Linked DNA regions of Canis lupus familiaris. The protein of the gene in region 1 interacts with the protein of each later gene in a biochemical or structural test. Links are inferred from orthologs where the notes say so. Each region holds a gene or a part of one and is shown on either strand. Other genes may lie near its edges. The genes, in order: PTEN and PRDX1.

What was found.
Region 2: the proteins of PTEN (region 1) and PRDX1 form a complex in vitro, tested with the Homo sapiens proteins (2 studies listed by BioGRID and IntAct). The link is inferred for Canis lupus familiaris from reciprocal best matches to the Homo sapiens genes PTEN and PRDX1.

Annotation. Positions count from the first base shown.
Region 1 is NC_049247.1:38,116,702-38,121,228, reverse strand, and holds the start of PTEN (phosphatidylinositol 3,4,5-trisphosphate 3-phosphatase and dual-specificity protein phosphatase PTEN), read right to left. Parts: upstream 2,969-4,527; 5' UTR 2,861-2,968; coding exon 2,782-2,860; intron 1-2,781. UniProt on the Homo sapiens protein: Dual-specificity protein phosphatase, dephosphorylating tyrosine-, serine- and threonine-phosphorylated proteins.
Region 2 is NC_049236.1:14,937,147-14,940,950, forward strand, and holds part of PRDX1 (peroxiredoxin-1), read left to right. Parts: intron 1-1,839; coding exon 1,840-1,970; intron 1,971-3,804. UniProt on the Homo sapiens protein: Thiol-specific peroxidase that catalyzes the reduction of hydrogen peroxide and organic hydroperoxides to water and alcohols, respectively.

The DNA.
Region 1 (4,527 bases):
GATAGAAATGCTCCAATCACTACTCTCATAAGGGAACGTAACTTCTCACAGGCTAGCTGCTGAAGCAGACACTACAACCTGCCAAAGTCCTCAATGGCCACCTTAATTTCCCCCCACAATACACAGAGAACCCTAAAGCGAAACCAAGCAAACCAAAGTGCACTGGTGTAATCAAAATTATTGGAAGTCCAACTAACAAAAAAAAAAAAAAAAAAAAAAAAGAGCCCTTCACTGACTTTTTCCTAAATGATTTTTTTTTCATATATTTGGCTCAATAAAACCACAACTCTAGAAATCAAGTGTTACTAGTCATTTGACGCAGCGTCTGACACTGCTTTCTATGCACACCCTAACTAAAAGTACCCTTCTAGTAACAGTCTCTAGGTCACGTAAATTTCAGGTATGGAGGCACACACCTGTGAAGTCAAAGGCGAGCTGGCCAACCAGCTCAGGACTCCTGTGTAAGAACCCCGCAGAACGATCTGAATCTTAAAGCCCTGACTATTTTAGAGCAAATGGGTAACGTAAAAATAAACCTACTCTGAATGATAAAAGCAATCTACCAAACAGCATCCACAGACATTGGTTTTTGCACGGGGATTTTTTCCTAAAAAGTCAAAGAAACGTGTAATCAATTTGTTCCTATACACCCAGACGGCTGTCAGTTCACACTAACGCTAGATTGCTTTTGAAATAAATTACAAATCAGAAGTTGTCCAGCAACTGGTCACCTTCTAGGCAAGCGGGTCAAGTTCAGCCTGACCAGTGTTGCAATCAATGCAGACTCCAAAACTTCTAAATAGTCTTCTAATACATAATTTTTTAATCAACAGAAAACTTACGTTTTGTGTGCTAGAAAGCTCCTTCTTCGGTGACTTTTACCTTCAGCTCAAAACAGACACTTGGGCAGAATTAGCTGTGCACGTTTATGTGCTGCTATGTAATCCAAAGGGAATTATAAAAAAAAAAAAAAAAAAAAAAAAACCTCTTCAGATGTAAAGAATTTTCTTCAAAAACCAAATCCTCCCCACAGTGTTTAGCAGGACATATGGATCCTTCAGCGCCACTCCACCTTTAGGCAAAATGTTTACTGGTGTTCGCTAAAAATGATCTTTATTAAGAATCCTCCAATAACAACCGACGCAATCACGTTTGAACTAAATACCGTCCACTGTTATAATTCACATCACCAAACTTCTGGCCTTCACAGAGGCCTTGTTAATAAGATGCTGTGGGCATCTCAGACCCACAAGTCAATTCTGTTTTTCATGCCTTAGACACTGGCCTAAGCAGGAACGCTGAACGCCTGTGATACTTTCCATTCTGGGGGAAAAAAAAAAAAAAAAAAAGGAGGGCTCTCTGCCCCAACTCTTGATCAAAACCAGTTCATTATACCTGAAACTGCCAAGATCAATGCCTTTCAATAACCGCTATCTTTTCAGGTACAAAGGCCTAACTTTTAGGCAACCGAAACGATACTCCTGTTAAAAATTCTCGGGTTTCTGTGTCATTCAACAACCTGAGTCAGTAAATTCAAGACACTGTGTGGAAAACCAGCTAACATACCTAGACCATGCGAAGCTGGAGTGATCCGCTCTTGCCTGCGTTGCTGGTGATTAGCTGGTAAATTACACCTGACCTTACACCCGAGCCCGAGTACAATTAACGGACATCACGCGGCGTCAGGAGTCCTGAAAGCTGGATGAGGTGAGCAGCAGTTCTGGACTCGCAGTGGCACTTGCATTTCAAGGAAGAACTGAAGCTTCATGTCTGCAATCACGATTTGCTGCACACAATACCCCAGAACCCACACAACACGCTCCTCCGGCATCAAGAAGCAGTCAATCCCCATTCTGCTACGTGAGACAAGACCACTGAACCTAAAATGCGGCTGAGCTGCAAAATCCCATGCCCTGTCCTGGATCACCCCATCAAGGGAGGGGGGAGGGGGGGAGGGGGAGGGGGAGGCAAATTTCAGAAAGACCGAGCAGCAAGAGCGGCTCAGGACGTGCGTTACCTGTGACACTATTGATCGCGAACTACACAACTTGGGAGAGGCAGTTCCCGGTTGTAATTCAACTCGGCGTGAGCACACGCGAACCTACTTTCTGTGCCCTCCAACGAACGCCCCGAGTGCTGAGAGCGATTCTGCTTCCAAAGTTATGCAAATCAGCTCACAACTCCCATTACGAATTAAAAAAAAAAAAAAAGTCTATCAATGCGAGCAACCCAGGAAACTAAATCACTGCGAGATTCTGATGCAATCTGCATACGTGCAACGCTAATTTTCATCTTCATCTAATCTGTGCCGTCGATCTGGGGGCCTAAAGCCAAGGTTTGACCGAAACGTGCTCGACCCCGGAGCCCGGGCGCCGCGTCCCCTCCGCGCGTCGGGCAGCCCGGGTTCCCGGCTCCGGGGTCCGCCGAGGGGCACCGAGTCCCGCGGGCGCGGACAATGGCCCTCCGGAGGGGCCGGGCGCGCGCAGGGCCGGGACCCGCCGCCGCCCGACAGCCGCGGCCGGGCGGAGGGGCGGAGGGGCGGAGGGGCCGGGGGCGCCGGGGCCGGGGCGCCGGGGCCGGGGCCGGGAACGAGGTCGGAGGCCGGGCCGGAGCCCCGAGGCCGAGGTCGGAGGCCGGGCCGGGGAAGCCGAGGCCGGGGTCCGGGGTGCGGGTGCGGGTGCGGGTGCGGGTGCGGGCGCGGGGTCCCGAGTCCCGGGTGCGGGTGCGGGTGCGGGGTCCCGGTGCGGGTGCGGGGGCCCGCGGCCGCGCGGAAAGGGATACAGGTCAAGTCCAAGTCGAACCCATCCTCCTGGTAGCGCCTTTTGTTTCTGCTGACGATCTCCTTGATGATGGCTGTCATGTCTGGGAGCCGGTGGCTGGAGAGGAAGGAGGAGAGAGACGGCAGGAGCGGCGGGCGGCGCGGCCTCCTCCGCAGGCTGCAGGCGGCCCCGGGCCTGGCGGCGGGCGGCCCTCGCGCGGCCGGGGCGGGCGTCGGCGGCGGGGCCTGCGCGCGCTCAGGCGGGCTGGCGGCCGCGGGCCGGGGCGGCGCCGGGGGGCCGGGCGGCCGGGCGGCGGCGGGGGGCAGGCTCTCGGGCGGCCCGGGGCCCTGCGCGCGCCGCCGCCGCCGCCGCCGTGGTGCGGGCGGGAGCGGGGGGGGCAGCGGGGCGCCGGCGGCCGCGGCCCCCTCCCCGGAGCCGCCGCCGCCCGGCCGGGCCCGCGGCTTCCACGGTCCCCCGCGCGGGGCGCCGAGCGACGGGAGCACGGCTAGACGCGGGCGCGGGGGGCGCGGGCGGGGGCGCGGGCGGGCGCGGGCGCGGGCGGGCGCGGGGGCGCGCGGGCGGGCGCGAGGGCGGGGGCGCGGGCGGGCGCGGGCGCGGGCGCGGGCGGGGGGGCGGGCGCGGGCGCGAGCGCGAGGCCGAGGCCGAGGGCGGGCCGCCCGCCGCTGCCGCTGCCGCTGCCGCTGCCGCCGCCGCCGGCCGGCCGGCTCCCCGAGGGCGCTGCCCCCGCGGCTGCTCACGGGCGCTGAGAGGGGCTCTGGGCCGCGGCCGCCGCCGTCTCTCATCTCCCTCCCTGCGCGCGGCCTCGCCTCTCCGCGGCGCAACTCTCAAACTTCCATCATGGCTGCAGCTTCCGAGACGAGGCGCCGAGCAGCGCGCACGCCCGCCCCGCCGCGTATCCTGCCGCGGCGCACAAAGAGTCCCGCCACGCCGCCGCCGCCGCCGCCGCCGCCGCCGCCGCCGCCGCCGCGAGCCCGGCGCCCCGGAGCCCGGGGGGAGGCGGGGGCCGGGGGGAGGCGGGGGGAGGCGGGGGCCGGGGGGGGCCGGGGCCGGGCGGGGGGAGGGGCGGGGGGCGACCGCCGCGCATGCCCAGTGCGAGCGGCCCCCGGAGCTGCACTTGCCGCGGCCGCTCCTGCAGCGGCGGACGGACGGACGGGCGGGCGGGGGCGTCGGGGACCCGAGTCGGACGGAGGTCGCCGCGCACCGGGGGCGCAGGGGGCGAGGGCGGGGCCAGCGGACCCGGGGCGCCCCTCCCCCGCCCGCAGCTCCCTGTGTCCGCCCCGTGTGCCCCCGCGTGTCCGCTCCCCGCGTGTCCGAGCACGAGGAACACCCCCACTATGGCCCTCGCGTGGCCACTGCCCCCGTGCCTGCTCCCCGCGTGTCGGTGTGACCACGAGCACCCCCCGCGCGTGTTCCCCCGTCCCTCCCGCATTGGTGTGAGCACGAGGACACCCACATTGTGCCCCCCGCGTGTCCGTCCCCCGCGTGTCGGCGTGAGCACGAGGAACACCGCCATTGTGTCCCCGCGTGTCGGTGTCCCCCCGCGTGTCCCCCCGTGCCTGTCCCTCGCGTGTCCGCCCCCCGCGTGTCCGCCCCCCGCGTGTCGGCGTGAGCCCGAGGAACTCCCCCCATTGTGTCTCCGCGCGTGTCCCCGCCCCCGGCTCGCCCCGCCGCCCCACCCCCGCCGCCGCGGGCCCAGGACCCCGGGGACGCGACCACCGCGCCGCCCCGGCCTCGCCCCCGAGAGCGG
Region 2 (3,804 bases), on another chromosome or scaffold:
TGCCAGGGGGCTGACATTTCATCAAAATTATCTAATAGATGGGCAGCCCGGGTGGCTCAGTGGTTTAGCACCGCCTTCAGCCCAGGGCCTGATCCTGGAGACCCGGAATCCAGTCCCATGTCAGGCTCCCTGCAGGGAGCCTGCTTCTCCCTCTGCCTGTGTCTCTGTCTCTCTGTCTCTCTGTCTCTCTGTCTCTCTCTCTCTCTCTGTGTGTCTCTCACGAATAAATAATAAAATTAAATCTTCAAAAAAACCCCAAGCAAACCAATTGACTTGAGAGCCTTTTGGAGAAAGGTAGAGGCCTGATCTGTAAACTCTTTTTCTTTTCCCCCCCTCAGTTAATTTGCTGAACAATAATTGACTTATATCACTATATAAAATTTACTTATTTTCAATTATGTTTTTATTTTTAGAGAGGGGGCAGAGAGAAAAATCTCAAGTAGAAGTAGACTCCATGCTGGAGCTGGACATGGGGCTTGATCTTTTGACCCTGAGATCATGACCTGAGCCAAAATCAATAGTTGGATGCTAGGGTGCCTGGGTGGCTCAGTGGTTGAGGGTCTGCCTTCAGCTCAGGGCATGATCCCAGAGTACTGGGATGGAGTTCCACATTGGGCTTCCCAAGGATCGTGCTTCTCCCTCTTGCCTATGTCTCTGCCTCTCTCTCTCTCTCTCTCTCTCTCTCTCACTAAAGAAAAAAAAAAAGTTGGATGCTTAACTGAATGAGCCACCCAGGTGCCCCTCTTAGTTATTTTTTAAAGATTTTTTTTTAAGATTTTATTTATTTATTGAGACGGGGGAGGGGGGGCAGAGACACAGGCAGAGGGAGAAGCAGGCTCCATGCAGGGAACCCGACATGGGACTTGATCCTGGGTCTCCAGGATCACACCCCGGGCTGCAGGTGGCCACGCTAAACGACTGTGCCATCGGGGCTGCCCTATTTTTTAAATATTTTGAGTCCACTCTACCTAACGTGGGGTTTGAACTCACAACCTCAAGACTGAGTTGCATGCTCCACTGAGTGACCCAGCCAGTACTCCCTTTAATGTATAAACTGTACAACACGATGATTTCATTTCATTATTCCTTTAAAAAAGAAAGAAAAGTGGCTCAGTGGTTGAGTGTCTTTGTTTCATGTACACATACATTTTTTTTTTTAAGATTTTATTTATTCATGAGACATAGGCAGGGAGAAGCAGGCTCCATGCAGAGGGAGCCTGATGGGGGACTCAATCTCGGGACTCCAGGATCATGCCCCTATAAATACAATCTTAAAAAAAAAAAAAAAAAGCATAGGACTCTGATCTTGGTGTAGAGATTGGTTTTTCTTTTCACAGAGAAAGAGTCAGACACATAGGCAAAGGGAGAAGTAAGCTCCCTGTAGTGAGCCCGATGCGGGACTTGATCCCAGTACCCTGGGAACAACATGACTTGAGCCAAAGGCCAGATGCTCAACCAGTGAGCCACCCAGGTGCCACCCCTGCCCTTTTTATTTTTATTTTATTTTTTTATTATTATTTTTAAAGACCTATTTATTCATAGAGACAGAGAGAGAGAGGCAGAGACACAGGCAGAGGGAGAAGCAGGCTCCACGCAGGGAGCCCAACATGGGACTTGATCCTGGGTCTCCAGGATCACACCCTGGGCTGAAGGTGGCACTAAACTGCTGAGCCACCTGGGCTGCCCTTCTTATTTCATTCTCTATGCAGGAAGAAGACAAAGCCAGTGCAAGTCTGGGAGAGGCCAGCAGATAATCCTTTCTATTGAGTTTGTGTTCTAACAAAGCGATTTCTAAACCTGTGTTGCATTTCCCTCAAACTTTCAATCTCTTTTTCCCAGGGGCCTCTTTATCATTGATGATAAAGGTATCCTTCGGCAGATCACTGTAAACGACCTTCCTGTTGGTCGCTCTGTGGATGAGACACTGCGACTGGTTCAGGCCTTCCAGTTTACTGACAAGCATGGGGAAGGTAAGCCAATCCACCTGCTGACTTGACAACAGAATGGTAGGTAGGATAGGAAAGATGGCAGGAACAAGGTCTACCAAATAAAAGTGTCTTTTCAAGAAATTAAAATCTCTGGATTATAGTGGGTGGTTTGGTGAGGTAATGGAAAAGTTCAGGGAGGATAATATAAAGGCATTTTGTTGAAGCTGCATAGTTCCAGCTTTTGCCCTGCTCATTTAGAATCACTGTTGCAGCTGTTAACTTACTAAAGGCATGTAGGAGGATCTCCTAGGTGTGTAGAAGGGCAAAACGAAAAGTTTGAGAATTCCATCTTGACATATAGCATGCCATTCTTGACAAGTGTTTATTGGGAGAAGAGATTAATCCCTTTGATCCATATTCGTTGTACTGTTTTTGTTTTTGTTTTTTAAAGTAATACATGGCCCTGGGCCAAAGACAGGCGCTAAACCGCTGAGCCACTCAGGGATCCCCCCCCCCTTTTTTTAAAATTTAATTTATTCATAAGAGACCCAGAGAGAGGCACAGACAAAGGCAGAGGGAGAAGCAGGCTCAATTCCATGCAGAGAGCCTGATGTGGGACTGGATCTCCAGGACCACAGCCTGGGCTGAAGGCAGTGCTAAACCACTGAGCACCTGGGCTGGCCCCCCCCCCCCCCCCTTTTAAAGAGTTATTCATGAGAGACAATAGGCGCAGAGACACAGGCAGAGAGAGAAGCAGGCTCCATGCAGGGAGCTCCATGTGGGACTTGATCCCAGGACTCTGGGATCTACGCCCTGGGCTGAAGGCAGGTGTTTTTCCTCTGAGCCACCTGGGCATCCTAGGTTGTAGCTTTTTGAGTTTTACCCCCTCTTGGAGTGGAGTATAGTTGTTGATAGAATGAGACAGTCTTACCCTAAGAGTGAGTTTAGTTTTTAAGGGCTTAAGTCCTGAGGCTGCAAGTGCTTGGTCTGTGGGGTATGGAGAACCTCATAAGCTCTCAAATTTCATGTAACTGAGGACAAGATAGTTACAATGAAGTGCTACTGATGTCGGATGAAGTGCACAGGTGTACTTGGTTTGAATTTGCCTTAATACTTTTTCTTTTAGGTGATAAATATTTCAGACTAATTTTCTAAAGCCCATTTCAGCTCTGATTTTGTGATACAGAACATGGAAGTTAAGAGTCTGAATTAGTGGTGTCTGTTGGGGGGACCCAAAAGTAGTGGCTTGCCTAGAGTGAAAAGCTAACATGGATCAGTGACCATGATACCCAAAGGCACCATTTGCTGCAGCATGTGTGGACTCTTAGTGTATTGAAGCAGATAGATGGCTGCTGAGACTGCCCCCTGGTGGGGGATGAGATTCAGCACAAAGACTGAGGGAGCTGGAGAGTGGCAAAGTCCTTTGTTGGACTTTTACTAGTTCCTTGCATGTAGGCTAGACTTTTTTTTTTTTTTTAAGATTTTTTTATTTAGGGATCCCTGGGTGGCGCAGTGGTTTGGCGCCTGCCTTTGGCCCAGGGCGCGATCCTGGAGACCCGGGATCAAATCCCACATCAGGCTCCCAGTGCATGGAGCCTGCTTCTCCCTCTGTCTGTGTCTCTGCCTCTCTCTCTCTCTCTCTGTGACTGTCATAAGTAAATAAAAAAAAAAAAAAAAAAAAAGATTTTTTTATTTATTCGTGAGAGAGACAGAGAGAAAGAGGCAGAGACACAGGCAGAGGGAGAAGCAGGCTCCATACAGGGATCCTGATGTGGGACTCCATTCCGGGACTTGAGGATCATGCCCTGGGCTGAAGGCAGGTGCCAAACCTCTGAGCCACCCAGGGATTCTCCCCGCCCAGGCTAGACTTTTGAAC